Linked DNA regions of Rhinolophus ferrumequinum. The protein of the gene in region 2 interacts with the protein of the main gene of each other region in a biochemical or structural test. Links are inferred from orthologs where the notes say so. Each region holds a gene or a part of one and is shown on either strand. Other genes may lie near its edges. The genes, in order: RPS6KA1, ERBIN, SMAD3 and PKP4.

Region 1 (7,803 bases), on a different chromosome or scaffold from region 2:
TTGGGGTGGGCTATGGGGCAGCAGCCACCTTCCCTATGGAGCTGGAATTTGGCTGGGCTCCGACAGCAGCATTTGGGCAGCTGGAGAGAGAAGTGGGCCTTCCAGCGGGAGAAGAGGCATGAAGAGGACTGGGGTATCATGCGTTCTGAGTTCAGGATCCTGCTCCTTTCCTGTTTGCCTTATAACCTTGGGCAAGTGGTTTGCTCCTCTGAGGCTCAGATGCTTTTCCTGTAGGAGAACAGAGTCCATTCCTCAGGGACGCCCGGCGGAGGAGGGCATGGGATGCCTGTAAATTAAAGACCTAATCTAACAAAGTCTGAGGCACAATGTTGGTATTTAACGCTTGTTTATTTATTTCAAGCAGGAAGGGGGATTTGGGGTTTAGCAGTCATAGTGTGGACAGCAGTCTAGAGTGAGAGCTCCCTGAATCTTTTCAACACCCCAGGTGCACCTGGTGTCCTCAGGCATACTGGAGCTCCATTCACCCTCCCTTCCTGGGGGTGGACTGGGCACCCCAGCTTCCCCCCCCAATCTCCGGAGCTGGACCCCTTTGAAGCGCCTGCAGGTCTATTTTGAGAGCCGAGTGTCTCTCCCCTCCCCTCCTCTCTTCCTGTTTATGAAACCCTGATCCCTCCCGGATCCCTTTTGCTCCCCTGGCTGGAGCACAGGCAGGATGTGACTGGATTTCAGGGAGCCTTGGGAGCCTCAGGTGTTGGGGAGAACTTCCCTTGGACTGGCCAGCGCGGGCTCGCCCACCCTCCCAGAACCTGGGACCCTGTGGCAGGGCTCTATCCTTCTGCCTACCCAGAGGTGACACTACAGCAGTAAGACCTGCCATCTCATCCGGGGGGATGTTCTGTTTACAATGCCCCTTTGCCTCTGTGGCCCATTTTGCTTCTAGAAACAACCTTGTTGAGAGTGGAACATCTCATTTTAACCTCTGTTTTAAAGAGGAAGAAAGTGAGGCTCAGACAGAGAAAGAGTTTGCCTGGAAACACTCAGCTAGTGAGTGGCCAGTGCTTAACTTCCCACCCTGCACTCCTGGCCTCAGCCTCTTGTTCATGCTGGTCTCTGCATGAAGTGCCTTTTCTCGCCTTTCTGCCTGGCCAACTCCTATCCTCTTTAAGTTCCAGTTGTACTGCCACCTCTCTGGAAGGTTCTTGGACCTCACCCCAGGCAGATGGTTACTGCCCCTGGGCACCCACAGCACCTGACGGCAGCTCTCCCTGGACAATTGTGTTTTGTTTTCCTGTATTTATTTTCTGGATCTACCTGAGGTCAACACCGGCGTTAGCCTTAACACGGGCGCCTCCCAGTGTCTGGCTCCTGGCCTGGGGACAGAGCGCGGGAACAGTAGCTACGAGTGATGTCCAAAGGGGAGGCCAGCTGGCCAGCCTTGCAGGGAGGGCAATAATGAAATGGTTAGAAGTGTAGGCTTTGGAAGCAAACAGACTTTGATTTTGGTCTTAGCTCTCCCGCTTTCTAGCCATGTGGACTTGGGCAAGTCACTTTCTCTCTGAGCCTAGTTTCCTCATCTCTGAAATGGGATGACAATACCTCCCTTGGAGCTAAGAAACAGGGCCTGCCAGAATCCACATCAGCAAAGGTTGAAGGAAAGAACATCTTTGTGCAATAAATGCTCAATCTGTAGGAGGTACAATTCTCAGTGTCACTCCATGCCAGTCCTGACCTAGGGCCTGAGGCCAGCTCCCCATCAAGGATGTCTGGGAACTGTGGACCCCTCTTGCCCGGCCCAGAGGCATGCTGGGAGATACGTCTGGGGACATCTGTCTCACCAGAGTGGGCAGCACCTGATAGGCCCTGCAGATGCTGTCAGCTGGGGAAGAAGCTGTTGGTGTCCGTTAGGGCCAGGGATTGGCACGTGGGCTTGCACTGCAGCGAGTGGAAGGAGGCCCAGGGGGGCCCTCGGGACCCAGGATCAGGTCAGGGGGCGCTGGGCTTCTCTTGCAGCTGCCTTGTGGAAGGAAGTACATAAGAGGAAGTATCTTTAGGGAGGAATGGGGCAGGGACCAGGGGATGTGGTCTGGTGCCTGTCCTCCCCTCCTGCCACCCAGAGGCCCCCCCAGGCCCTGCACGTACCCTTCAGTGAAGGCAGTTCGGAGACTGTTTCCTTCCTGTACTCTGTTAGCCACAGAGTCTTCCTTTGATTCTCAGGGTCTCAAGGGTGAGGGGGACCCGGTGGCACAGGACCAGAGAGTTTTGGGGCTCCCAGGGCTGTCCCCATCTCCACACCCCTGCCTGAAGCAGCGGGGGTGCAATGAGAAGCCTCCGTCTAAGCAGGCATCTTTCACAAGCCTGGCAGACCAGCATCACACTGTTACTAGAGGCCCTGCGAGGCCTGGAAGGGGAAGTCCGTGTGTACGTGGGGGCGTGTGTTTCCACACAGGGGATGTCTGTGGAAATCGTTTCCGATCATCGGCTTGTGTGTATTTGTGTGCGTATCAGTTCCGGTGGGTGTACTGGTGTGAGTGACGCGGCGAGGCCACGTAGAAGGGGGCTGGGCCTGGTCAACCCCTGACCCAGGCTACCTGCTCCTCCACTGAGACCTCTGTAGGTCCTTGCTAGGGCTTTCTGCCCATCCCAGGGCGCTGGACTGGCAGGTTCTTCAGGGCAGGGCTGCTATGGTGGTGCCTGTTCTGTGGGCTGCCATTTTGGGTGGGCCCAGCCATGGGGAGGTCACTGCGGGGGGAAGGAGAGTCTGTGCTCTGGGCCGGGGCAGTCAGAGCCCATGGGCTTGCTGACTTCTGCCCTCATTCTCTTAAGGGGATGTTTGCAGCTGCTGGATGCCCACTATGTGAGCCCCTCATCACCTCGTGACTCTGTGTTCTAGTCTCCCCTTTCTCGGGATCAGAGGATACGAGGAGGGGTGTATCCCTGGCCCCACCCCCTGCAGTCATGGCCTTGGGGTCTACCGTGTCCCCTCCTCAGCAGGGAAGCCTGTCCCATCTTCTGTCCCTCCTCTCTGCAGAGGGGGAAGTGAGAAGGAGGGGGTCAGGGACCCTGCCTTCTGGGCCAGGAAGGCTGAAAAAGCAGAAGTGAGGGACTAACGGGGCCCTCTGGCCACTGGCTTGAGCCCCACCATGCAGAGCCCGGCAGATCTCCCCTGGGTGGGGAGAGATCCACTCCCCTGTCCCAGAAAGGTGAGCAGAGGGTTCCCTGCCTCCACTGGTGTCTGTCATCATGACTCTGGGCAAGGAATAGGTTTGGGGGTGACTCTTTCCCCTGGGGTTTCCGGGTGACTGGCTCTGTCTCCAGGGAGTATTCTCAGCCAGAGACAGACAGGTGGAGGCTCAGACCGCAGGGTTTGGGGACGGGGGTTGCTGTGTGGCCTTGGCCCACCGCAGCCCCTCTCTGAGCCAGGCTTTCTGCCTGTCCCCCCTGGGGTTACACTCAGGAGCCTGATTAGCGTGCAGCTTTTAGTGGCTGCAGCTTTTTGTGGCTGTTCAGGGTCCCCTGAGGATGTGTCTGTGTCTGTGAGGGTCGATATCTAGAATGAGAAGTCCCCGGACTGACCCTAGTACCGAGGGAGGGGGCGGGCTGGAAGGGCTGGACATGGCTCCGGCTGACTTACCTACCCACCCTTTCCTGGCACTTGAGGCCTCCCAATCGCAGGTCAAGCAATAGCCAGGGGAAGGACTTGGGTTCAAGCTGGCTCTGCCTCCAGTGCACTTTGAGCCTGGGTGAGTCACTGTGCTCTGGACCTCAATTTCCTGTTCCCGAAATGGGCACAACTGCTTTTGGGATATTTGGATGAGAGTCAGAGCCATCAGATTGCACTCAGATATCCCGCTTGGCCTACTTTCGTAGTCCAGGGCCCCCCTTCAGGACCTGGCATGGGAAGAACATTCCAAAGAAATGGAAGACCTCAGAGATGGGTCTGCCACAAATACTGGACTGTTCTCCCAAGTGCTGAGGGTTTGCAGGCGACATCCCCTCACCTCTTTCCTCACCCCCAGGTAGACCAGCTCTGCCTTTGAGTTCGGGGTCCGACTTTTTGGGTGTCCAGGTGTCTTTCCTGCCTATGTGTCTGTCTGCTTGGGCCTCACTGACTGGCAGTCTCTGTTTGCTGCCCACCTGCCTCTGGCTTCTGTTGGGCTCCTGTGTCTGTCTGTACTTGATGAGTGCCTGTCTTCACCTGTTGGGTACATGTCACGTGTTAGGTGTCTGTTGGTTCGTGTCCCCTTATGTCTCTGCCTATTGAGTATGTGTCCCCATCTGTCTCCACCTGTTGGATGCAAGCCCCCATCTGCCTCTGCCTGTTGGGTCCCCATCTGTCTCTGACTGTCGGGTACATGTCCCCATCTGTCTTTGCCTGTTGGATATGTGTTCCCGTTTGCCTCAGCAGGTTGGGTATGAGTCTCTGTCCACCTCTGCCTGTCAGGTATGAGTCCCCTCCTGCCTCTGCTTGTGGGTACCTGTCCCCATCTGTCTCCGCCTGTTGGATATGTGTTCTTTCTACCTCTGCCTGTTGGGCATGTGTACACTCCTTCCTCTGCCTGTTGGATGCCCACCTTCATCTGTCTTTATCTGTTGGGAGCCGGTCTCTGCCTGTGGGGTGCCTATCTGCTCCTCAGCAGCTGGGTTGGTATGGGGCTTTCCCTTTGCAGGCCCACAGGGGATGCAGAGGGCAGCCTTCAGGCAATGGGGACAGGGGAAGAGAGAGGAAAGGAACGTGGTGAGGGTGTAGGCTTGGAGCGAGGAAACCACAGGCCCTGCGTGATTGGTGGCCCGGGCCCAGCCCCCGCCCTCACTCTGCACATCCGCCTCGGGCCGGCCACCTCCGAGGCAGCCCCGGACGCTGCCTGCTCCTGCCATGGTGCCTTGGCCCTGCCGGGCGGATGGAGCAGGATCCCAAGCCGCCCCGTCTGCGGCTCTGGGCCCTGCTCCCCTGGCTGCCCAGGAAGCAGCGGCCCAGGATCAGCCAGACTGCTCTGCCTGCCCCTGGCCCTGGCTCTGGCCCCAGGCGGGACTCGGTGAGTGTGCCCGGATGAGCTGGCCTGCCTGTGGCCCTTGGAGCAGGTGCCTGGGCAGCCAGTGTGGCCTCAGCTGTCTTTGGGCTCTCCTAGCCCAGGCCTGGCCCTGCTGGACGACTGGACCCTACCCAGACCTGCTCCCTGGGGGAGTGAGGAGGCACTCAGGGGTCCAGGGAGTGACACCGGTAGACCGGAGGGAGGGCAGAGGGCGAGGGGTCCTAGGACAACTGGGACCTGAAGAGCGGTTTTTAGTAGACTTGTATGAAGGAACTTTCAGAGGGTGGGGCATGGAGTCTGGCCTTAGCTCCTACCTGCCCCAGACTGGCACTTACTGGGTTGGGGGTAGTCTCAGGTGCCTCTTGGGTCCCTAAGCATCTCAGCTCTGTCCTTCTGGCCAAAAGGATCCCGTCATCCATCCTGTCCAGGAACAAAAACCCAGCTTTGCCTCCCCAGTGTGAGAATAAACCCTACTTCCTATTGTGGCAAAACCAAAACTTGACAGCAGGGGGAGGGGAGGACCTGGGGCTGGTCTGTGGGCCTCAGCCAGAGCCTGCAGTTGGCTCAGCTTGGCCAGCCTGGCCATGCCTGGGCATCCCTTTGGGTGTGACCAGGCCGGAGCATCAGGAACAATAGGAGCAGAGACACCTTAGTAGTTTGACCCCCTCTGGCCTGTGAGGCCCTTTGGTATTGATGAACCTGGAGGCTGGCCCTGTCGGGGCAGCTGTCTGGTTGGGCCTGCAGGGCCCCGTCTACTGAGATCTGGTGTGAGTGGACTTGGATGGGGGACATTCCCCATGCTGGCCTGGATGGGGCCCACGTGCCCACCTGCTGTGTTCCTCCATCAGGATGAGGGTGTCCTCAAGGAGATCTCCATCACGCACCATGTGAAGGCTGGCTCTGAGAAGGCTGACCCATCCCATTTCGAGCTGCTCAAGGTTCTGGGCCAGGGATCCTTTGGCAAAGTAAGTCCTGATCCCACAGTTGGGAGGGAAACAGTGGTCATACCAGAGGTGGGGTGAGAGTTCACTGTGGGGCTCAAAGTACCAGAGGGCAAGGGTTGATGGGGCTCAAGGCAGGACAGGAGGTCACCTTGGTACCCAGGGAGGGCAAAAGGTCAAGGTGGGACTCAGGGAAGTTGGAGGGCAGCTTGGGACCTGGAGGGTGGGAGCTGATGGGCTCAGTCCTCTCCGCAGCTTCTCCTCTGCTTTTCCCGTGCTGCCTTCTCAGGTCTTCCTGGTGCGGAAAGTTACCCGGCCCGACAGTGGGCACCTGTACGCCATGAAGGTACTAAAGAAGGCAACGCTGAAAGGTGAGTGGAGGACACCTCCTCAGGCAGAGCCCAGGGCAGCACAGGACCAAGTGAGATGGCCCAGCTGTCCAGGGCCTTAAGTCTGATGCAGGAGAGAGCTCAGTCTCCAGGAGTGCCTGGTCTGAAGGTGGAGACACTGGCCTGTTCTCAGCTGTCCCTTACTACCCACCACCCCTCCTTATGATGAAGACAGGGTCCAGTCAGAAGAAAAGATCTCCAGGGTTAACTGCACCCCGCGCCCACCCCCACCGCCAAGCCAAGTGCCAGTATGTAGTCTGGAAGGAGGTGGGAGCAGGGGTGCAGTATGTTTGTGTTGGAGGCCTTCAGACATCAGGTTTCAGGCTGGTTGGGCAGAGGCCCCTCTCAGCAGAGTTGCTTCACAATGTTACAAGAGTCTGAGGGAGACCTCAGAGTGGAGAAGGGTGTGAGCAAAGAGGCAGGGAGCCCAGGGAGGCGGTTGCGTGGGTAGGAGAGGTAGTCAAGGCGGGTCCATGGAGATGGATGGCAGAGAGGTTCGGAGGGAGCCCGAGTCCAGGCCTGGAATTCCAGGACTTCCAAAGGGCATGAGGGTGATTGGGAGTAGCCTTTGTGCTGGGCAGTGACTCTGAGCAGCCTGGGAACCAGACTGGCCACTGACCAGGCTGGGGTGAGGTGGGGAGAATTGGAAGTGTTGGCCTTGGGGACATTAGGAGTCATGTGGCCCATGAAGGGGCATCTGTGGGGTGATGTAGCTTTGGTGCCCCAATGCCAGCCTGGTAGGGGTAGGAGTCATTCCTCAGCAGGGACAGTGGGAGCCATGGGGAAAGAGAAAGATGAAAAGACTTGGTCCCTGCTTTGAAGGGCTCCCGTGGGGCTGGAGAGGCAAGGCAGACCTTGCAGGGTGTTGCAATTGGCGCTGCGACTGGGGAGCCCAGGGAAGGTGGGTGCAGCCTCCCAGTGGGGTCGGCTCACATAAGGAGTAACCATTTGAGCTGTGTCTTGAAGGATGAGTTGGGAGTTCTCCAGATTGAAGATGGTAGAGGAAGGGTACCCCAGGATGGAGGAATTGTTTCCCTTAGCAAAAGTGTAAGGGCAGTTTGAACATGTAAGGTTTAGTTGGGAAACAGTGACTAGAATAGTTAACTACAGTGTGGTCCCTGCCATGTCTGGTGAGGGAAACAGAAACGTTAAACTAGCATGTAAAAGGTGCTCCGAAGGGGAAAGCACAGCCCTGTAAGAAAGAGCATCCTGACTCAGCATGGCAGGTTAAGGAAGACTTCCTGGAGGAGGTGAGGCCTAAACTGAGTCAAAGAAGAACCTGCTGATATCAAATTGCCTGAGGACTTTTATTCTCTAAAAACATGTGTGTGTGTGGTGGGGTGGGGGGTGCCTACTCAGACCCATGAATCTGAATTTGAGACCCAGGGAATCTGCCTTTCTAACTAGCTCTCCAAGTGACTGTTCTCACCAGCCCCCAGACTGGAATTGGAGAGTTTTATGGCAGATGGAGAAAAGGCTGGT
Region 2 (7,870 bases):
GAGAGAAATGGATGGGCAAGTGAAAAGAGTCAAAGTAAAAATGCAAGCATCAAAGTATGTTTAAAGAAAATCCAGATAATAGCAATTACAAAAAGAAAATGACTTTGATATCCACACCACTAAAATTCTGCATTATCCCAAATACTTTGTAAACACTGCCATAATCTATTTCTAAGCCCAAAACAGCTTAAACTGTAAATCATGTTATCTATAAGCAATAATTTAAATGTCTAAATATGCACCTAATTTTCTGAAAATGTAAAGTATGTTTATTAAAGAAAAGTAGTGTTTATTACCAAGAGCTCAGTACCAATATCTTTAAAGTAAATGAATTTTAGAGATTTACCAATGTTATGTGTAAATGTCTATAATTACACTTCATTAAGAAATATGCAATAAAAATTTGGTTTCCATATTTGAATCTCTGTAAGCTACATGCAAAGTTTGCAATACCTTGTTCTCAAACAGCAGACAGACTTCATAATACTTGAATTAATTAGTTGAAGGATGAAGTTTATCACTATTGAAAACTCCTAAGTACCTTTAATAAACAGTGCCATTAAATGTGCATTTTTTGCAATATAAGCAAACGTTGGAAATGCTCTAGACTTGCCAACTTAATGTAAGAAAACCTACACAATACTAAGAAGATCCAAAATTTGAAATCATTTAAAAATATTTTAATTTATTATCGCTTTTTTTAAAACCTCTTTTTCAAATCACTGTCACATTTTAAACAAGGCTTTGAAAATACTTATAGTTTAGCAATGGATAAAGCCTAATATTCATTAAGTTAATCCAGTGCTAAACTAACAAAATTTTAAGGAAACCAAAATAAATTTTGCTTGTTTAGGGGAAAAAAGGAATTAAAGGCAACTACAAAGGTGAACACCTCGCTTTTAAAAAATGTGTTGTCTGCATCTCAACACACTATTATTGCTCCCTCAAGGAAAAAAAAAAATCAAGAACTAGAAAATGGGATTTAAGCAGTTATTTTTGAGTGCTACAATACTTTTCATATGTAAAATTTACTAATGCAGAGAAACATCTTCAAAAAGGATAATTCTCTGTAAAAGACTCGCTCTATTAAGGCTTTGTTGCTCTGAAGCCAAGTATAAACCATATAAGGAAACTGAAGTTCAATGCCATTTATTTTGCTCTGCTCTTTCAGATGCCCAAGAATAACCTTTCACTGCCTAATGATACGTTCCAAAAATCATAAAGTAGATCAGTTATGCACTTAAATTCCCTGATAAAGCTACTTTGACTTAACAGGAATTTCTTGATGGTTTACAAGTCTTACCAGCAACTTAAAAGAAAAAAAGATCTCCAAAAGCTAAAGTCTGGGGGGTAAAAATCAAAACAATGCATTACTATATATATTAATATACATCAACTAATATATAGCAATATATATTTATATATATTATTAGTTACAAGAATTGAAATGTACGTAATAAAGTAACAAAGAACAAGTTGTGAAATAATTCGAGCTTGCTCTTTCAAACCTGCCTTTCTCTTCTTTGAACTAAAGAAGACAATTTTTCTTGGGGTAATATGGAACATGAACAAGCCGAACAATTTATATTTAGGAAACACCTACCAACAGACTACCACATTCATTTAATAATTATTCAGGAGCACAGTATTATCTGTCACCTCTCTTGAACACAAAGTACTGGGGAAAAAATTGAATTTTAAAAGACACCACTAAAGAAACATTTTGTATTTGCTACGACCAAAACTAGTTTGATCCATACAGACTGCCGATTGGTTCACAAGTGTTTATAACTCTGACTGGTGGAAAGTTTCCCATGCTTCACTAATTCCGGCCCCCACAGTAGGTACCTATCACTTACTAGGCTGAACTGGCCAAAACATTAGGACCAACACAAAAATGTAAAGACTGTCTGTACTATACAAAAAAGCACATCTATTTACCACAATGTGACACCCATGAAAATCGTTTTAAAACGTTTTACTTCCCTTCCTCTATGTTCTGTTCTAAAGTGTAGAGAAGTCCTAACAAATCAAACTTACAAGTGTGTTTTTAATTATAACTCCCTCTTTATCCCTAACACTTACTCCCTTTTTCTTTCCACCACTCAGTTACAAGAAAAATCTAGCAGTCATTTGCTTTCAATTAATTAAACAAGTATTATAAGGTTTTAAATGTCTGAAAGAAACAAGTTACTAAAGAAATATATTACCTACCTGGAAAAAACGACTACGAATGGCAACCTCTTTTGTTTACAAAATCCAACGACATACATTTATAAGGGTTTGAACTAAAAAAATATCTGTACGATTAAAAGCCAAAGCCCAACTGGTAACAGTGTACACAAATGTGGCAGCCATCTCAACAGCAAATCACTCGCTGCAGCGACCTAACTTCCTTCCAAAACAAAAGTTGCCAGGTTCAGCAACTTAATAAAAAATATACATTGTATATGCTCCGGGAAACTAAAACGTCTGGACCTTGCGCTGAACAAAGGCACTCTTTCTTCTGATTGCTTAAAACTTTTCGTCCCACTGCATTCTTACAAGCTCTTCTAGAATAACCAGAGTCCAGATGGTAGGAAGGGGGGAAAAATCAGTTCTATTTAGCACCTGAAACATTATCCAGTTCGACATTAGAAAAGAATTAGGACAACGTGGGGGAAAGTGAAAAACATTCAAGTATTCTTTCTTTCCTGGCCCAGGAGCTTTGTGACTTCTAGACACTTTTCGTGATAATTACCTTTCAGTCGGGCAGTGTCTCAGGGCAGCTTTTTCAAGGTTTCGCCAGACATGATTTCCTTCCCTTCGTTAGTCACTTTGGCTCCAGCCGAATTTCTCTACGGTGAGAGCGGATGTGGAGTGGCCTCCCGCAGCAGGACGAGTAGGCTGCTCCGGTGGGGGCTGGGAAGCGGGCTGGTCTTCGAGTTCTGCAGGAGTTTCCCAGCCCCAACTAGGATCTCCGCCGAAAAAAAAAAACTTTTCACTCGTGACACCGCCCGGAATTACCGTGCGAAACTCACTTCCTGCCTTGGCGAGAAGCAGGATCCAGCTCCGTCCAGGGGAACCCGGAAAACCAGCTCCGCGCGCGCCGAGGGGGCAGGGAGGGGGCGTCCGCCGCGAGCCGCTGGCCCGGGGCGACCCGCGCGCCCCGCACTCCCGACGGTGACAGTACCCAGCCGGCGGGGCCACCGACGCCGCCGGGACGCTGGACGGACCTTGGCCGCACTAGGCCGCCGCCCCCAGAGCCGGGCGGCGGGGTTATTGTCTCGATAGCGCCTGCCGCGCCCTACGCCCGCGCCGCCGCCGGGACCCGGAGCCGAGGGGCCGAGCTGGCTCGATGGCGGCCCCCTCCCCGGGCTGTCCGTCGGGCCGGCCGTCCTTCTGGCCGTCCCTCTCCGCCTTCCCTACTTGCCCTCGAACCCTCTTCTCCGCCCTCTCCCGGTTTCCCGCCGCCGGCCCTTCGCTCCCCTCCTCTTCTGCCCCGGCTGTGGTGGCTCCCCCGGGAAGCGCAGGGGGTGGGGGCGGGCGGCGGCTGCGTCTCCTCACGAGCTCGCGGGGCCGCGGCAGGGGCCGAGGCTGCGTCCCGCGCCGCCGCGCCACATTCACTCGAGCGAGAGACTGCGAGGGGAGGGGAAGCGAGGGGAGGGAGGCAGGGAGAGGAGAGAAAGGAGGAGGAAGGGGGCTGGGGCGGAGGAGAGTTACTGCCTCACAGGCCGCCGCGGCTTCGGCGCCACCGCCCCGGCGGCCAGGAGGCGGGGGGAAGAGGCTGCGCGCCGCGGCTCCGCGGCGGGGGCGGGGCGGCCTCCCGCTGGCTGCACCCCAACCGCCGGCAGCTGGGCTGGAGGCCGGCGCGAGCCAGTCACCGCTCGCGGGGGCGGCGCAGGCCGACGTCGGCGGCGGCAGGGGGCGACCGGCCGGGGGCTGGGGCTGGGGTCGGGGGGAGGGGCCGGCGGCGGCCGAGGCTTCGCGTGCGAGGCGCCGCGTGAGGCCCGCTCTGGTCCCGGCAGGGGGAGGCCTGTCTGCTGCTCCCCGGCAGCCTAAGTGGGGGCGCTTAGGACGCGGACCCCGGCTGCTCCGCGCCCGGCCCGGAAGACGGAGAGCCCGCTGACCTCCGCTGGATCGGTCGCTTGAGTTTCTTCGTACGACACTTATCGGTGCTCAGGGTTCAAGTCAAGCTCGATTTTAAGACTGCGGGTATCGCTTTCAACTGCAGCACTCCAACTTCCTCTAATGGCACGCTCAGTTTGCAGGAAACCACAGCGGCAGCTCCGTGGAGCTTCCCACGCCGGCCCTTGCTCCGAGCTTGTTCGCACAGCAACGCAGCTGGGGCTCCTCCAAGTCTCAGCCTCACCCGCCGGGGAGACAAAGCTGGCGAGGGGAGGGGGAAAACGGCCCGCGAAATTGCCTCGAGATAGTGCCTTTGTTAGAAGAAACGTTGGATACACTCCGAATGCGACGCAGGCTTCCACCGCCAGTGGTTTCGGTGGTGCAGTCGTTGAATTGCGCTGGCCCTGATAATTCAGCCTGGCAGGGTTTGCGTTTATTGCAGAAAGAAACTTAAGCTTTCTATCAGCACATATGGCAGAAACGCCTCAACCATAACATTGCACAGTTTTTGCAGTTACTGTTTCAAATATGTTAACAGACAAGACGGCCTTGTTTTACCCGGAGGAGGAACGTAACAGATACGGAACAAACCATTCCCCGCCCCCAGTCTGCTGTATTTAACTGGGTACAGTGATGGTAATTAGTTTCTGTGTCCCTGCAGTCACTATTTCAGTTCTTCGTCTGTGTTCCAGAGATAATTATTTATTACCAAGTTTGAATAAAGAGCTGTATGCCCTACAGATGATTTTTGGCTTGCATCCAAAAGAAGGAATTCATAAAGTCCATCAGAGAATTGTTTACCGAAGAGAGTTGTACGTTACTGAGACTTGAAATAACTCCAAAGATATTCAAGACATTCTATTAGGGGTGGGAGCATTTTAACTACTTCCAGAACTGCTGAAATTAACACAGGTAGTTCCTTCACTTAGAGCAGAGGCTGAAGGTTCACAGTACCAAAGTGTTCAGGCTTAATTCAGTGCTGAACTGGAGGTAAGACAGCATTACACTAGAAGCTAGGAAACGAAACGGCAACCAGGGTATACTAGTAATACGAAGCTAGTTATCCATTTTATGTGAACATGACTCTTAGCCATTGTATAAATTCTAAAGTTAACCTATTGTATTTTTAATCACAAAAAATATTTCCCATTCCACTTTCAGCAACTGGTTTGGGTCTGACCCAAACCAGACTCAGTGGTATAGCTCTAAACTGGAAGGATCACTGCCCTAAAGCCATCTGCCCAGGGTGGCAGTATCTCCCATACCAGCTCCAGCTGGATTTTGGGATACAGATAATGCATTTCGTCTCAGATTGATTCAAGATCCTTTCAAATGTGGCATCATATTCTAGTAAACCAACAGCCCCCACCCCAAACCTAAATGAATAGGACTAGACCAGTCCTTAGGCTAGGACCTGTCCTGACCCTAGCCTGTTTGGAAATTTAAGTTGATCTGGGGCACGGATCAGGCTGATTACCATTTAGCTTAGAAAAGTCCCTATAACCCAAAACCCCTTCTCCAATTCACCTGATATTTTGCCACTAGAGTTTAATTCCTTTTAGCATATTTCTCTATCACAAAGCCATAATCCTGAGAAAGGTAATATTCTAAGCCTTTTAGTTAGTTATATCTAACTCATCAGATTGTTTCCCTAAAGCAGCTTTGATGGGAAGGAATATAGACAGCATATGCTGAGGCTGAGTATGTAGGAGAGGGAAATGTAATAGAGGGCAATGTGGAGAGAACAGAAGTATAGATAATAAAGTATTCCATTTGATTGTTATGTAAGTCCTACTTACTCATACTGTAAGATCCCCAAAACACTGGTCTTAAAAGGATAGAAGACAGGATGCGCTTGTTAATATAACCTATTTTTTCTTTAAAAATCCCTTTGTAACGTATCTTCAGGAATACTCATCTGTGCTCACACAGAAAAGTGACATAACAGCTACCGTGTTGCCCCGAAAATAAGACTGAGCTTATATTAATTTTGGCTCCAAAAGACGCACAAGGGCTTATGTTCAGGGGATGTCATCCTGAAAAATCACGCTAGGGCTTATTTTTCGGTTAGGTCTTATTTTTCCGGAGAACACGGTATATGGTCAGGGTAGTCAATAATCAGGACTAATAATTCATCTTTGTTATTCATTGCCAACTATTTAGTTCCAACTCATGAACAGCACATACAGATATAGCCAAATCTTCCACATGTTTTTTATTACAAGGCATTCCTGGTCTGTGCTTTATAGATTAGTTTTCTTTGAAAATCCTCCCACAGTTGAACTTAAGATGGACTTAACAGTTTCAATTATGATTAAAAGAACTGAAACCCCACGTTAAACAAGGCTGCCTAAACCATGATTCTGTAATAATTAACTGAACTCCAGGACCAATTTAGAGAGTAAGCTAATAAATATTTGTTGATAGTATAGCTTTATCTTCCACATTGTGATTCTCTAAATAATTGTCTGTGAAAGACAGGGAATTCTTTGAGATTTCCCTTCCCAATATCTGGGTTCAGGAGAGGAATTACTGCCTACTAGAGATAAAGCCACATATCTGAATGGAAGCTTCAAGACCTTGCCAAACGCATTCCAGAGAATGCACACAGCATCCATCAGAAAAAGTGTCTTAGCAGAGCACCTATCCACTGCTTTAAAAAAGGTCCCCCTGTTATTTCCCCACGACAGTCAAGCAGCTGTGCAGAAGCATTATGGAGACAGTAAGCAGGAGACAAGGAAGAGATTAGGATGATCATTCTTCTTTTCTGTCTTCCTCAACACCTAGTAAAGAATTGGTTACCTAAAACCGAAGTTTTTATCGCAGAATTTGGGGAAAAATTAATCTTTGGTCCAGATTAGAGTTAGATTCAAAAAAAAGTTTAGAAGCATTAGATAAATTAGATCATAGGGACTGACTTCCCTATTTTCACGTCCATCTTATCCCCTTGGTAGAAAGGGCAAGAGGTTAGAGTGGCAAGTGTGCAGGGAACCGAGCTTGGGCTCAAAAGAGGCAGTACATGCAAGAACAAAAATTAAGGATTTTATAATACTTTGGGGATGTCATCATCCCTCCTATAGCATGTTTCAGCCTTCAGAGATTTTCAATGATACTTTATGAATCACAGAGAAGTCTGCCTCTATTTGTGAAAAACTTTTTTAAAAAAATTTTGATGTTTTTCCCCCTAGTATATGCTTGATAACATTTTTTTCTATCATATACATTTTGTAGCCTAGCAAAATTAAATTTCTTTCAGATGGCTTACAATTTTTTTTTTAAGTGTGGAAAAAATAAATAATGCATGGTGATTATTTGTGTGACCTCTGAAACAAGACTGCTTGACTTAGAAACTTGGCTTGGTGACCTTGGGCAAGTTCTTTAACATCTATAATAAACAAAGTTGAGTTTCCTTACCTTTTGGGGGACTACAATACTAACAGCCTCATAGCTTGTTCGGAGAACTACTTACATGGGACAATGCTCAAAAAGTGCTTAGCACAGTGCTTTGCAGACTCAAAAGTGTTAGCTGTTATTAGCAATGCACTTTAAAATGCACTGACAATATATACTATGCTTCCCTCATATAGTGTATCATCCAAACTAGAATACTTTAGAGAGTTAATAGACATTGATAACAATTTCAAAGGGACAACAAATGTAAAACCAGGACATCCTGGGTCAACTGCAGCAAATAGTCATCCTAATAATTTCCAACTTTATTACCTTCCTCTGATCCACCTCCCCACTCAAATCTTCCCTGGTA
Region 3 (7,674 bases), on a different chromosome or scaffold from region 2:
ATCCACCCAAGCAACTGGGTTTCCCTAACTGAGAAAAGACAAAAAAAAAAAAAAAAAAAGTCTGCCTTACCAGTCCTTGCCAGGCAGGTAGTAGAAGCCCCCAGTCCTAACAGGTCATGAGAAAGCCAGGGGGCAAGTTAGCTTGAACACTCAGAAATATTCAAAGCATTCATATGCCTCAAGCTGCAGACAACTGTAAAAGAAGGAAAAGCAGGCCATAGCTAGGTTCCCCCAGAGGGCAAACTTTTACCAAGGCAGGGGAAAAAGCAAGCCCTCTCCTCCAGGCTGTCACCAGCACACAGACTGAACATTGGCAAACTTACCAACATAAATCCACACTGCCCTCCACCTCTCCATCCACCCCTGGTCTCCTTAATAGTGCTTCAGCATTCAGCATTCAGCAAAGAACTATTCAGAACCTTCAAAGGAAATAGCAGCATGGGGTAGGAAAAGGAGCACATTGGGTCAGAATCCCATGTCTACAATAGCAAGCATTTTCACCTCTTCTCCAAAGTTTTCTCGACTTTACAAATGAGATAAACCTTAAGCCTAATTGCCTTATCTCTTTTCCAGGAGTTTCTTTCTTTCTTGATTTCATAACACCATGTGAAAGTGCTCTGTAAACTGTAAAACACTTTACACAGCTGCTTGTTTTATAATTGATACCTTTTTTTTCCCCTTCTGTTTCAAGGCACAAGGCACTTGTCCTTACTGCTCCTGGACAGGTAAGAGGGCAGGTCTCACAAACCCCTCCCCAGGCAGAAGTAGGACATTCATCACTCATTCACCCTACTCACCCACCCACCCACCCACCCCCGACTAAAGGAGTAAAGAAGAATGAAGAACCAGAGCTGGGACCAGAACCCAGGGCTCAGTGACCATCACATCACACCACCTCCTCTGAAGTCAGTTCTGGCTTCGGATCACACGCCCAGAGCGCACTTCCCAGACAGTACACCGCCTTCCCTCCCCCTTTATTGACTGGATCCACCCAGTTAAAAAAAAATTATTATTTTTTAAGTCAGCTCTCCCACCATATGTGGCATTTATTTCCAGAGAAGGCCTGCCCTGGGTTCCCAGGGACAGATGTTGCTTTGTGCCTGCCTGACACGGCTGGCAGCCCTTGTACAGCTGCCCCAAGCAGGTGGCCAAGGATGGGGACCACTGCTGGCCCACGAGTAAGGATGACAATCTCTGTGGGACTCAGGTCCTAGGAACACTCTACTCATGCCTCTGCAGCCTGGGACCCCAAGGACACACACACACACACACTCCTTTGGTGCAGAGTCAGACTTTAGAGGGGGCTGAGAGGAAGAGACAAGAGGCCAAGGTGTCCCCTCATACCCCAATTTCCATCCAGGCACAGCTAAACTAAGAGAAGGCCCTGGGGAGTGAAGTCACTGACCCCTTCTATCAGCCATCTGTGAGCTCCCTCCTAACCCCGCTAGCTAGCGTGTGGTGGCGGATAAAGGAGGTCCAGGCAGATGGCAAAGCGCTTTAGGAAGGAGGGCTCTGCAGGAATGCAAGGGCCGCTTCGAGGCCCACTTTGGGGTGAGTTTTGTTATCTCCTCAGCTCCAAGCACTCTCTGTTCTGCATCAACCCGCAGTCTCAGACTGAAAGGAGGGCAAAAAGCAGTCTCAGGAGGCAGGGGAGAAGACCCTACTCTCTGCCACTTGTCTCTCATTTGAAAGTCAGCATTGCACTGCAACCAAAGTGAATGTGTGCAGAGGGGGCGGGAGACTGGCACAACCAAGTCTAAAAATACTCGATAAAAATGCTAATCCCGAAGGCAAAGAGAGAACGAAGAAGGAATCTGTCAATCACGAAGCTCCCGCTCCTCACCCACAGCCCCAGCTGTACCGACTGCATTCCTGTTGACGAGGAAAGACGTGGGGGGACAGGACTGAAGAAAAGAAAGGGAGAGACACCACCACCTCCACGAGCGCGGGCCGCGGGGGCGGGAGGCGGCGGCGGAGGAGGGGCTCTGGCCCGCGGAGCTGAACAAAGCGGGCCTCAACTTTGAGCCCGCAGCTCCCCGGTGTGGGGGCGGACAATTCCAGCAGTACCCCTCTTTCCCTGAGGTGAAAAGCGAAATGTGAGGTCTGGCGTGAGAATGCCGCGTGGAAACCCCAGGCTCTTAATCTGCGAATGCAGAGAAGGTTTTGTTCAGGGTCTCCTTTCTGTCCGCACTCCCACCTCCCCTTACACAACACACACATACACACACACACACACGCACACACACACACACACACACCCCTCCCGCTCCAACCCCACCCGGCCGTCCCCGCCGCGCCAGGGGTCTGGGCCAGCGCGCCCCCGGGGTCGCTCGGGCCCCCACCTGGGAATAGTGATGCACTTGGTGTTGACGTTCTGCGTGGTGATGGCCTTCTCCAGTTCATCCAGCTGCCCCGTCTTCTTGAGCTTCTTGACCAAACTCTTGACCGCCTTCTCGCACCACTTCTCCTCCTGCCCGTTCTGCTCGCCCTTCTTCCAGCCCAGCAGGCGCTTCACGATCGGGGGGGTGAAGGGCAGGATGGACGACATGGCTGGGGAGGACGCGCGGGCGGCGAGGGGCGCCCCCGGCGGGGCTGGGCGCGGCGGGACGCCGGGGGCGCAGAAGGGAGCTGGGCCGGGGCTGCCCAAACTTCGCGTCAACTCTCGGCGAACTTGCCGGCGCTCCGGGCCGGGCCTCGGCACTGCAGCCTGCGGGGCTCCCACGGCGTTGAGAAGGACGGTGGGGGAAGCGGGCGGGAGGACGACTGCGGCGCCGGGTCGGCCAGGCCCCGAACGCGGGGCGGAGGCTGCAGCCGCGAGCCTCGGAGTGGCAGAAGAAAGTTTGGGTTTCCGCACGGGGTGGCTGTTTGGGTGCCGCCTCCAGGAAGGAAAGTCCAACCCCCACCCAAACTTTGCTCGCCTCGATCGCTTTGATGCGCAGATGCCTCCGACTCAGCAGCCTCGCCTCCCAGCTACCCTCCTCCTTCCCCGCTCGCTCGCTCGCTCGCTGGGCCGGCCCGGGCGGTGCGCCGCGCTCCCGCTCCCGCTCCCGCCCGCTCCCAGTCTGTGTTTCATGCAAATCCGCGTGCAGCCTCCTTTCCAAGCGCTGTCACCGCCCCCTTGCCGCCGGGGCTCCCCGCCTTCTCCCCCGCTCCCTCCCCCGCTCCCCGCCACCTCCTCCCCCGGGCGCCCTGCCCGCCCCCAGCCTCCGGGAGGGCGCCCGATCTCCCCCGCCCGGCCTGGAGCACGCCCACGTGGGCGATCCCGGACAGCGGCGGCCCTGGCTGGAGCGCGCAGGACCCCGCGCGGCCCCGACCTGAGTCCGGCCGGCGCCTGGAGGAAGTCGTGGGAAAGGAGCCGCGAGAGGGGCCCCCGGCGCGGAACCCACACTCAGGAAGCTCAGTTGAAGTTGCGGGCCCGAGAGGGTTAGATTCGCAGAGAATGAGCGCCGTACAGCCAAAGGCTGGCGGTGCACCCCTGGGAGGGCCCTGGTCCGAGAGAGGGCGCACCGAAAGCCGAGTCCCAGGAAGTCGGGGCGCACACTTGCACGCGCGAGCGCTGGTCCGGGTCAGGGCCCTTGGCCGGCGCTGGCGACCCGAGAGCTGTTTTCATTCTTTCAATTTTGAGATCACACTGGCTGAAAGCCCCGAAACTAGGTGCAAAGGAGGGAGTTGGGAGGCGGGAGAACTGGGATTCAAAAGTGGACTTTTGGGGACCCCAGTGACTCCCTGAATAATAGCTGGAGCTAGGGGGCCCTTGCGAATTGAGTGCCCGGTAGAAAATAAGCCTCAAAGACATCTCCTGAGTTCAAGAAGTAAGGAACGGGGGTGCTTTAGAATGTCTCTTTCAGAGGAAACATAACCGGGTGTTTGGAATCTTATGATACAGTAAGATCCGAAATTCGACACCCAATAAATAGATGGAGAGAGAGCTTTGTTTCCAAAGCTGTGAACTCGCAAAAAGTAGAGCAGAAGGGGAGTACTCGGATAGTTTATATATTCAAAGTTAGCCTTGGTGGGAGGCATTGAAACACCAGGCTATTGAGGAACTTTGGGGCTTTACTCCCCACTAGCAGAATTCATGGGCATCTGCCCACAAAGCCCTCAGCCTCTTTCAGGAGTTAGTCATCCCAGGCCCCCAGGGCCTTTCTCCTGCAGCCCCTCCCCTACCATGCCTGTAGCCTGGTGTTTAAGGCCTTTGTTTTTAACAGCAGGAAACCCCCCGGAGTGAGAAAGAAGTTATCTGCAAACCTTCAGGCCTGGGGAGTTACAGAGCCCTGTGAGGTAGGGCAGAATCCACAAAGTTGGCCCAGAAGCTGCAGGGGTCCCTGCCTTGTCAGAGAGAACGGCCTCCCACAAGCCTGTTGGCTGCTTCGGCTGCTGCTGAGCCTGGCTCTTCACACTTCTGTCCTAAGTCCCCACTACAAGGACCTTAAAAGAGAACCCCTGAACCCCACCTGGGGCTTAAGTACCTGCTTACTCTTCCTGGCTGGTCCTCTGGCTAACCCAAAGCCGCTGTAAGCCTTAGGTTTCACTCCCCACTTCCCAGCTCTCATCAAAAAAGCGAAGGAAGGCAATCCACAGATGGCTTTCTTCATTCCAGGTACCCAAGTGCTGTCCTCTGATTTAATCTTCGCAATAGCCGTTGAGGTAGACGTTCCTAGGCCTCCCATTTGCAGAGAGATTACAATACTCACTCGGGATTCCAACCAGAAGAGCTGGGATCTGAACCCCGTGCTTTGTGAGGCCTCAGTCCGCACTCTTGCCACTGCACCCAGCCTTATTATAGTTGTGGAAGGCAAAGATGACATCATTGATAGAGCTCTTTGCAAAACAAAAGTTCTTTACACAGTCACGCTATTGTCACACTCCAAGAAATGTTTGCTCACCTGTAAAATGGGGCTAGAAGTAGCTTTCCTCTCAACCTCCCAGGGTGGTCGTGGGACTCTAACATGAAAAGCTTTGCAAACAGTCAAATGTTGTAAATGAGAGGAACCCCACCTTGGGGCCACTGCTAAGGCCATGAAGAGTGGTGCGGGTGACGGAGCCCAGGTCAGTTAGACATGCACTCATTTCTGGGAAATGAAAAATGAAGCTTCCCTAACCTCAACCAGCTCAAGGCCTAGAGAAGCATGAAGGGGTGGGAGGTGTGTGTCTGGTCGAAAGGAGCCATTGCATTCGTCATATCCCAGTAATACAATATTCACCGGAATCAAATCAAGCAGGTCCAACTGTTGAAAGGCAGTCGGATAAAGACAAAGGTCTTCAAGCTCCATCAACGACTGGCTGGGCTTTCAATCCTGGCTCTCTCCCTCCTTTCACCCCATGAGCACCTGTTCTCTCAACGGTAAGGATGGAGGGAACGGTCCTTACTGTGCAGAGTGGTGTATCTAGAAAGAGCTTTAAAATTGTTCTCCTCCAATGCAAGTCCCTCATTTTACACTGGTAGAAGAGATGTCTGATGAAAGGAGGCGATTTGCACTGTGGAGGTAAAGAGCCTAAAAGAGATCTGAGGATTATATGTAGTGGAAGGATCTGGTATGTACCTAACCCTCTAAAGTCATGACATTGGAAGGGGCCTCATTCAGTCCTGTCATTTTCCTGAGAGGAAGAAATAGCCGCTAGTTAGTGTAACTAACCATGCTTTCCTGAACTTCCTTCGTATGCTGGCATCCATGTGACTGGGACAGCTGTACATGCAGAAAAACAGTGCTGGATCCACATGCGAGTCCAACAAGTACCGTTGCTGGGCTAATTCTTTCTCCTCTAGCCTCAGTTTCTCCACAGGAAGAGAGTTGAGGGAATAAGCCCAGTTTCACAAAGCAGTGAGGAGGGCTGATGACTGGATTGCTCCAGGTGCTAAGAGGACCCTGCGTGCGCCCTTGACTTGGGCCGTGAGTGGGTTGGCGGCTCCAGGTGGATAGGAATTCTGTTCTGGAGCCTGGTCTCCCAGGCCCGGGCCTTTGCAGAAGTTGTCCTTGGAAGGGAAACATTAGCCCGGTTAATTTTTCATCACGGTAGGTGCAAAGTTCAAGAGAGGCGGGATGGGGCCGGAGGCTGCGACTCCATTTCCCTGGGAATAGTTAGTCCTATCAGGGAGGAACCACGTAAGCGGACTTGCCAAAGGGTTTTCATGTGTTTGGAGCAGCTCCCAGGTAGAACAGTGGAAGGAAACAAACACCTGACTTCAATTCTGATTATTTTTCCATTGGCGAAAGGGTGTTTCATCAACAAGTTGTGAATCTAGAAAAAGCATTAAAATGGTCCTGTCTTCATGTGACACAGACATAAAGTGACATCTGGTGAAGGGAGGTGATACGTCTAGAGATACGTTAGGACTCTGCCAGGACTAGAACTCTCATCAGTGTGCCCTCACCTAAGAGAGAGCCACAGTCTCCAGCCAGACCTCTTTCTATATATAGCAGCTTATACACGTGAACTCTCCAGAGGCACCAGACAGATCTGAGTTAAACTAGTTCTACCACTTCTAGCTGTGTGACTTGGGGCAAGTCCCTCAACTCCCTGTGTGTCAGTTTCCTCATCCGTATAATGGGAATAATAATAACACCTACCTCTTAGGGTTGCTGTAAGGACTCAAATAACCCATGTAGAGAGCTTGCCATAAGCCCACAGTACGTTTTCAGTATTCTATGCCATAGAGCACAATGCAAAAGTTAGAAGCAATAAGTTCTGTGTACACAAAATAAAGGGACTGATCTTAAAAACAGTTCCAAAAATGAAAATAGTAACACAGAGAATGAAGTAAAAAACTATGCTACTCATGTGAAAAATTACATATAACCAAAATAACAATATATGTTGTGAAACAAATCATATAAACAAAAAGATACACATTGAACCACTTCACACCCATTAGGATGGCCATCAATATACACACGACTTGTATTCATCTTTGGTTATTGGTATATATTGAGTATTATAATTTTAATAAAGTGTTTTCCGTTCTTAGAATGCGTAGACTTTTTTTTTTTGGCACTCTCTGTATATATGTAAAACAGAAAATAACAAGAGTTGGTGAGATGTGGAGAAATTGGAACCCTTCTGCATTGCGTGTGGGAATATAAAATGATGCAGCCACTGTGGAAAATGGTATGTTGGGTCCTCAAAAAATTAAACATAGAATTACTACTTGATCAGCAACTCTGCTTCTGGGTATATACCCAAAAGAAGCAAAAGCAGGGACTCAAACAGATATTTGTATACCCATGTTCATAATACCATTATTCATGATAGCCAAAAGGGGGAAACAAACCAAGTGTCTCTTGATGGATGAATGGGTAAACAAAATGTGGGATACGAGGTGTAATCATAAAATACGATGAATGTTTAAATTTTAAAAGATGTATTACAATAAAAGACACATTAATATCCTTCAAAATACTCTCCCTCACTTTGAACACACTTATCCCATCATTCTTGCCACTTTCTGAAGCAGTTCTGGAAGTCCTCTTTCGTGAGTGTCTTGTGCTGTCGTGGCTGCCTCGATGTCCTGAATCAATTCAAAAAATTTTCCTTTCATGGTCATTTTGACTTTGGAGAAGAGCCAGAAGTTGCATGGTGCCAGATCCGGTAAATAGATGGATGAGGACATACAATAGTGTTTTTATGTGACAGAAATCGCCATACCAGAAGCAATGTGTGACACAGAGCGTTGTC
Region 4 (7,687 bases), on a different chromosome or scaffold from region 2:
ATGTACTTAGTCAAAACACAGTACATGTTGTTTTCAATTGTGGATTATCACCTGTTTAAAAACTTCCTCTCTTCAAATATCTATAACAATAGAATACATTTCTAACTGAAAGCCTACCTTTACTTGAATGGGTAAAACTTTACTTGTACAGCCAATCCTGCATATGCATTATCTATATATTGAATGGGCTACTTCAATTTCTAGTGTAACAGAAACTAAATGTGCTTTTACTTCTAATCTTCCCATCAAATCAAATAAGCACGTGTTAAACTCTGCTGTAATATGATATTGTTACATAACAAGTTTCCTGTTGGCATCTACAAACACCTTCCAATATCCTACAGTGTTGCTAACTCTAATTAAGAGTTCAACCTCTAAATTAGAAGGTCTACATATTATGGACATACCTGAAAAACAATGTAGTAGCCAAAACACACAACCTTTCCCAGTGCAGTTTTTTTTCCTTTTCTATTTCTCCTTTCCATTAGGTCCTTAACTAAAAGGTGCTCATCTTATACTTTTGAATGCCCTTGATCCACCCAAAGTGAGTGCTGGAAGACAGCTAGACAACCAATTTATATTCCTGAATCTGATACAAAATAACCAAGTTTGGAGAGGCTTATAGTAAACTCAACCTCCAAAGCAAACTGTGTCAAATAAAAGCACACATTGTATGCTTTTCAACATCAGAAACACTTGTTTTAAACACCGGTTGTTCTCATTTCAGGTTGCCATTTTCCATAACTGTTACACAGGCATCAAAAAGATACTTCTATAGCAACATATTGCATTGAAAAAGAGAAGCAGTCTTCTACCTTCCCTTTTAAAATAAAAGAATCTAAGATCAATTCTAGAAAATTATCTTCTGTCAAAAATTTGCTTTTCTTCATTAAGGAAAATAAAATTTGACCAAAAATGTATACTGATCATTATTGATTTTACACAATAATAATTACCATTCTTTAAAAGTTGTAGGGCTGTGTTAATTTTTTTTCAAACTCAGAAAAAAAAAAACAAAAAGCTGCGACCTCCACTAATAAATTACATCTTTAAATATACATGATTGTGTTGTCCCCGTGTTACTTTCAATGGTAACTGACACGCCCCGAATTTAACTGTACCAGACAGTTCTATCTGTCCCATCGCTGACCAAACACTGCTTCTCTGTTTCTACTCATTATATATTATAAGAGGTCTAAACACAGCCCAGTATGACAAGAAAAATTCCAATTCTTATGACAGCAAAGCGATGCATTCAAGATCTCTTTTGCAGTACATCGCAGTCCATGAGCATTAACAGACATTTTTTGATAGAGCTAAAAAACGTTGGCTGCAAGCTCATTACTCTAAGAACCTTCTGCACCCTTTCCTGCAGGTTTTCATAAAACCCCCGGAAAAACCAGGCACAATTAAAACCTTGCAAACCAAACTTGCCAAGAACCGTGTGCAGTGATCAATAACCTTAGCTACACTGCCACTGGCCCCAAATTCACGGTCCTGGAGACCAATGCAGCAAAAACCCAAACGAAAGGCTAGATGAAGCCCAACAGAACTGCCGCGCTTCCCCTCCGCCGCCCTCTCTGCCGCATGAAGAGGCAAGGGGAGGAGAGGAGTGAAGCGAGCCTCACCAGCTCCAAAGATGCTCCGGTGACCTCTGACTGCGCGGCCGGAGCTGGGCCAGGAAGGCTCTAGTGCAGCCGCGGCGGGCCCTCTGGACTATGCCCCTGGTGCATTCCTCGCATTCCTGCACAATCTGTCGCCAGCCGACGAGCCCGCGGCGTGCGTCCCCCCCGGACACAGACACCTGCCTATTGCTGCTCCCCAAGCGGCCACGGCCGCCGCGGCGCTTCCAGTGCCCGCGCTCGCTGTTTGTCGCACTCAGCCAACATGCAGCCAAACCCCGGCCCCGCGGCTCACCCCCTCGCTTCCCCGGTAGGGGGTAAAAAGGAGAGGGCCGGGCAGCCCCAGCGCCGGGCAGGGACACCCGATCCGCCAGGGAGGTGCCGCAGCTCCACTTCAACTACTGGCAGGGAAAGGAGGAAGCGGCGGCGCAGGAGGATAGCCAGGGAAGCTCGGAGCTGGGGAACCGGGAGGGGTGGAGCGTGAGCAAACGCCGCGAGCAAAGAAGGGCGCACTGGACAGAGCCGGGTGGGCAGGACCCGCTGGAGTGCGGGGCTCCGGGGGCAAACGCGAGACCGCGCGGCAGCAGGGGCGTGGGAGGGAGGGGAGAGAGCCAGGATGCAAGATCTGGGGCGGGAGGGATGGACAGACGGCTCCGAAAGCTGGGGAAGGCGGGCGCCTCGGGGTGTTGGGGGCGCGGGGCGGCGTGCCAGGCGGGCAGGAGCTGGGGAACCTCCCGGCAGACGTCCAGGAGGGCTCGGCGTGGCGCTCCAGTTCAGGGCTGGGCGCTCTGGATGAGAAAAGGCCAAGGTGGGGAGGGGTCACGCGCGGTATGTAGGGGAGACCCGAGGAGAGGAATCACCGGGAAAAGCAAATGGAGGGTGAAACTTGTGCGCCTGCCGGGGGGAGGGGAGCAGGCAGGCGAGTGCGGGCAGGAACACGAGGCGGGGCAGGAAAGCCAAGGCGGCCGCGAGGCGGTGGGGACGGAGTAACGGGAGGGAGGCGCCCGTCCCCCCACCGTGCCCCTCGCAGGCAGGTCCCGGCTGGGGCGCGAGGGGCCGAGGGCCGGGGGTCTCGTGGGCAGGAGTCTCCGCGCTCTCCAGAGAGCCCGCACACTTACTTTCCAGGTCAGGCAGCGGCCGTCGTCGCTCCGGGGATCAGGGACAGCAATGCCGAGGGGTCGCCCCTACGGCACCCGAAAAATTAAAAAAGTGCCGTGGCGGAGCGGCTGCCCGCCCCTCCCTCCCCCACCCGCCCCCTCCCCCGAAGCGGCTCTCCCACCACCCCCGGCGGCGGCGGTGGCCAACTTGCCCCTCTACCCGGTGCCCATGGTGCCGCCTCTGCGGCCGGCAACGACACAGACTCAGCCCCGGAGCCCCCTCTGCTGCCCAGAGGCCGCCGCCGCCCGCCCAGCCGCTAGCCCGCCTGCCCAGCCAGCCCTGGGCTCCCGGGAACGTCAGCACGCCGCCGTCCCCAGACCGGCTCCCCGCCAACCCCATTGGTCGGAAGGAAAAGGCTGGCCCTCCCTATTGGCCCGGCCCTCATATTGAACGGGCCAATGGGAACTGCGGTTTCAGGTTGCCATAGAGACCGATGCTGTTAAGAGCGTGAGGGCCTGGAGAAGGTGGAGAGTGAGAGGGAAGGTGTCGGTGGCTTTGGGCGCCGGAGGGGGGTGGGGGAAAGAAGTACAGGGGGATTCCCGGGAGCTGGCTTTAACATTTGGCGTAGCTTTTGCTTTGCCTTTCTGTCAGCTCCAGCAGTGAAAGGTAGGGTTTGTTCCTGGCGTCAAAGGCAGGAACAGCTGAGCCCCAATCCTTGAAGGTGAGAGCCTTGGAGGTCGTTCTCTTTTCCCGCGTCTGGGGAGCCCCTGAGGCTATGCCCATTGACCCTAGAGATATGAGTGCAGCTTCTGCTTCTCCAGGTGAGTTTGCTCCCCACCCCTTAAATCGCTGCTTCCTCCTGACGTCACTGAAACTCCTGAATTCTACTTGTTCTTCCCAACCACTCCTTGCCTAGGGCGGATCTTGCCTCTAATTTTTGGGTCTTCAAACTTACAGCCCTACATAAAGGAGATTCAAAAAGGATTTCCTTTGGATGATAGTTCGATAAGGAAACTGACATATTGTATGTCATAAGCTCAACACAGAAGATAATGTGTTCCCTGCTTCCCGAAGCAATCCTCTAATCTCTGTGTTGAAGGATATTTATTAAACACCTATCTGTGTGTGCTTTCTGCACTATGAGCTGACAGATGTTTGCTCTTTCCCTTAAGAGGTTACAGGGTGGGGAAGACAGGTGACAGAGTCAATCCGTGTTTCTAATGATTTCACAAGAGAGTGAAGGAAATAGATTACAGTTGATGGATTTTGTTTTCAGGGTATTTTCCAGATGATGTCTAAATTTGATGGAAGAAAACAACAACAACACTGAGCCATGGAATCGGTACACACAAAAATCTTGATCTTTTAACAAATCTCATCTTTTATTTAAAGTTACGTTGTGCTTGTTTGTCAATACCAACTGTTTTTGGTAAATAATTTTCATATTTAGATACTGGCTCCTAAAATGAGACTTCATGAATATATTAGGCTTTTAAGCATTATATTGCTCTATCATATAGCCACTAATATTCTTAGGTTCCTTCTTTTGGTGGTTTTGCTATTTTTTTATACCAATCTCTTTAGTAAGAAGACTGTGTATGTTACTGCCCCTCCAGTTGGGGCTGACCATATTGTTAAAGAAAGCTAATAGGATTTTGGAAATTACGAGTATTTTGTTGAGAGAAACGGATTAATGCTTCAGCAAACTATATGTCTACCTACTGTCCAGAACTTTAAGTTGGTAATATGCTTTGCTGTTGTTTTTTATCTTACTGTAGTTGAAGATTACAAACATAGATAGAAATTATTAATGTGGTGCTTTGATTGGAAAAATATCTCTCACAATTTGTAGTAATATTTCAACTTAGTTGACAATCCTATGCAGGGTTGGACTGCAGAACAAAACAACTGAACATGTGAGTGTTCCCCCTAGTTTCAGAATTGGGAAGGAATCACCAGGGGCTATGGAATGCTATCTCATGCTTTGCCATCATGGAAATTAGATCATCATGCTTTTTATTTCTGGCTTTCTTTTGTGTTTGTTTATAGGAGAATAGAAAAGGTAAAATGCAATTTTTATATAAATAAGACTTATTTTTAATGCACTAACACGATACCAATGATTTAGTGTTTTTAAAAAAAATACTATTAGATGAAAGGGAGATGAGTCTAATGAAAAGAAAAAAAATTGATATATGTATCCCTTTTTCTTGCCTTAGGCTAGCATGGAAAAAATAAAACAAGAACCAATTCATTTTTTTACTCCAATAATTTTCTTGTATTTTTCCCAGGTCACATGTTTGAAGAGTGTTTTGGTATTATGTATTTCAAGTTTGTAATGATTAAAACGTTACTAAAATCCACCATGATTATTGTCACCTAAAATGTTTTCATTCAACATTATTCTTTTCATAATTGTTGAAAAGTTTCTTTTGAACTTGCTGTTGAACTACTAGATAAGGTTAAGAAATTTTATTCCACTATAAGTTTATGCTATCCATACTTGGCTGGGTCTTCACTGTTTCTCTAAATTCCTTTCCTCATCAGTAGGGTGATCAATTATCAAGGATGCTTATCTAGGGACATTATCCAAGGCACTTCTCCCAAACCTGTCCTATTTCTGCTGTCCTTAAGCTCCCACTGTACTTGGTCTTCTAGTTCTGCAAATGATTTTGCCTTTTCTTTGACTGAGGCATCCACCACGAGCTTCCTCAATTTAACTTTCCTAGACCTCAGTTTCAATTTTTAAACTTCATCACTTCCTTCAGTCCTGGCTGAGAAGGGGTGTCTATACTTCTCTTCTAAGCTCATGCTCCACTTGTGCTCCTAAACATGGGTCATTCTTCTTCTTCCTCCTCCAGGATGTTGCTCTGCTGATTATAATTTCTGTCTTTGGTCATGTGTTCCATCCTTTAATATTTTTTTCACTGTGCCTTAAGTATCTGACTTTTTATAAAACCACCTTCCTTCTGTCCTACCTCCATCTCTATCTGTTGGCCATTCCTTTCACCAAGAAACAGTCTGAAGGGAATTTCTCAGGGCTTCTATTTTTATCACCCTCAATATTCTGGCCCTTGAATATAACCAAAATGATTCTGAAGATTCAAAATCCTAACTCATTTTGCATAAAGGTTTCTCCTACAAAAGTGTTGTTTACTTGCAAATTGCAGTGCCTGAATTCAAGATTTCCAGTGAAGGTGAGAAACCATTGTCTCCCACCCTGAGGGTCCATAGAAATGCAAATGTACCTGAGAAGGTGAGCTTTACTTGTTAGCTGCACTACCTGTGTGGGACTAACTCCTAGTAATTAAGAGTGGGAAGAGGGGCCTAGGGCAAATCAGATTAGAAAAAAGAAAGAGGAGTCTCTGCTCAGGCTGACTGGGGCCTAGGGCAAGTTAGAAATGTTGGAAAGAAGGAAGGAGTTTGGTGAGCTCCACCCTTAAGAACAAATGTAAACAGCAAATCCAAGGGAACATTTTAGTGACCATCCCAGAAAGAAGTCAACCTGAACGTTTCATGATTATGAAAACTTTGTAACTTTCCAATGTTTGTTGTTTTCATATTAACAGAGGCCGCAAGGAAAAGGGGGGAGCAGGAACACCTTATCTTCTCAGTTTGGATGTATATAGAGAAGGTGAAGGCATTGAAGATAATAACTTCAAAATGTACACTGATAGCTGCTACTGGGTTTTTTGTTTTTTTTTATTTTTAAAAGAAATGTTAAAACATACAGGGTGCAAATTAAGGAAAGAAAGCAATGAAATAAACTGGTCCTAAAAAGAGATCCTAGAGTTTAGAATTTCTGCTCTAGATTTCAGAATTGGCCATGCCTCACCTCCAGCCCGTTCTCTGAATATGTAAATCCTCCCCTGCCCTTTGAGCCCAGCCCAATAGTTACCTGTAAAGATTTTTCTGAAAATTTCCTGACCTCACCCCTCGGTGGAGAGGATGATTTCTGCTTTAACATATTACGGTGGCACTTAACACTCTGTATCCAATGTTATACTTATCTCTGTGAGCTTTCTCTCCTAGAATAGGGTACATATCATGGTCATGACTATATCACAGTGCCTTAGACTACGGAAGTGTTTCTCACACTAAGAAAAGCCAACATTCATTAAACCTTTTATTTAGTCCTTAGCAGAATTGACCTTCCAATAATGAAAAATTAGAATCGGTAATATTGGGAGGTAATTAGAAAAAGATGGGACCAGAGTTCCAAAGTGGAAAAGTGAGGTAATGTGTGGCAGAGTGGAGTAGAGGTTTTTGCCATGTAGCCTCCAAAGAGAGAAAGGCCTCAGATCTTACCTCAACCGGGACTTACTTGGACCCCTCTATGAGGGAGGGGACCTATGTGAAAAGGACTGACGTGCTTTGGCATCAAGTTATATTCAGAGCTAAGGCTATAAAATTCTGTGCATGGGGGGAAAACAGTTGAAACTCAGCTTTGTCAAACAGGTTAAATAAGGGTTACCTACATTTTTTCCATTTGAAACATTCAAGATGTTCTGTCTTTTTTGAACACAGTACAATCCTGAGAATTTAACAACTTCATAAAATCAGAGAGGCATCAACATCTGGTAGATATAACAGACGTGTTTCCAGGTATTTATCTCCACAACCCTTGCAGTAGGTAGCCCTGCATGGGCTCATGATCTTCCATCTGGCCCATGGTACCAGCCTTGATGGGGACCTGATTTAAATGTAGCCAATTCATAGGCTGACAATTGACCCACAACCTGTAACAGTGCCGATCAGATTTTTCTCCTGGGAATTTGGAATTGAGAACAAGACAGCCAGAGAGAGCAACTGCCTTGGTCTTGATGTTTTCTGGGTTACTATTCTACCCATGAAAGCAGAGTAAACTTCATTTTTTATTCCATAAGATTTCTGTTTCTTTCTTTTTTTAAAATTAAAATGTAATGGGGTGACACACAATGTGATATATAGATGATGTATTACAGAAT

The links.
Region 1: the proteins of ERBIN (region 2) and RPS6KA1 interact in a test that uses a peptide from one of them, tested with the Homo sapiens proteins (2 studies listed by BioGRID and IntAct). The link is inferred for Rhinolophus ferrumequinum from reciprocal best matches to the Homo sapiens genes ERBIN and RPS6KA1.
Region 3: the proteins of ERBIN (region 2) and SMAD3 form a complex in vitro, tested with the Homo sapiens proteins (2 studies listed by BioGRID). The link is inferred for Rhinolophus ferrumequinum from reciprocal best matches to the Homo sapiens genes ERBIN and SMAD3.
Region 4: the proteins of ERBIN (region 2) and PKP4 form a complex in vitro, tested with the Homo sapiens proteins (4 studies listed by BioGRID and IntAct, with this or other methods). The link is inferred for Rhinolophus ferrumequinum from reciprocal best matches to the Homo sapiens genes ERBIN and PKP4.

What each region holds. Positions count from the first base shown.
Region 1 is NC_046292.1:18,178,048-18,185,850, forward strand, and holds the start of RPS6KA1 (ribosomal protein S6 kinase alpha-1), read left to right. Parts: upstream 1-4,792; 5' UTR 4,793-4,859; coding exon 4,860-4,994; intron 4,995-5,839; coding exon 5,840-5,956; intron 5,957-6,221; coding exon 6,222-6,303; intron 6,304-7,803. UniProt on the Homo sapiens protein: Serine/threonine-protein kinase that acts downstream of ERK (MAPK1/ERK2 and MAPK3/ERK1) signaling and mediates mitogenic and stress-induced activation of the transcription factors CREB1, ETV1/ER81 and NR4A1/NUR77, regulates translation through RPS6 and EIF4B phosphorylation, and mediates cellular proliferation, survival, and differentiation by modulating mTOR signaling and repressing pro-apoptotic function of BAD and DAPK1.
Region 2 is NC_046290.1:42,188,311-42,196,180, reverse strand, and holds the start of ERBIN (erbin), read right to left. Parts: upstream 3,004-7,870; 5' UTR 2,741-3,003; intron 1-2,740. UniProt on the Homo sapiens protein: Acts as an adapter for the receptor ERBB2, in epithelia. By binding the unphosphorylated 'Tyr-1248' of receptor ERBB2, it may contribute to stabilize this unphosphorylated state.
Region 3 is NC_046289.1:44,064,719-44,072,392, forward strand, and holds the start of SMAD3 (mothers against decapentaplegic homolog 3), read right to left. Parts: upstream 3,014-7,674; 5' UTR 2,549-3,013; coding exon 2,343-2,548; intron 92-2,342; exon of another isoform or gene 71-91; intron 1-70. UniProt on the Homo sapiens protein: Receptor-regulated SMAD (R-SMAD) that is an intracellular signal transducer and transcriptional modulator activated by TGF-beta (transforming growth factor) and activin type 1 receptor kinases.
Region 4 is NC_046291.1:63,589,903-63,597,589, forward strand, and holds the start of PKP4 (plakophilin-4), read right to left. Parts: upstream 3,002-7,687; 5' UTR 2,741-3,001; intron 2,048-2,740; exon of another isoform or gene 1,629-2,047; intron 1-1,628. UniProt on the Homo sapiens protein: Plays a role as a regulator of Rho activity during cytokinesis. May play a role in junctional plaques.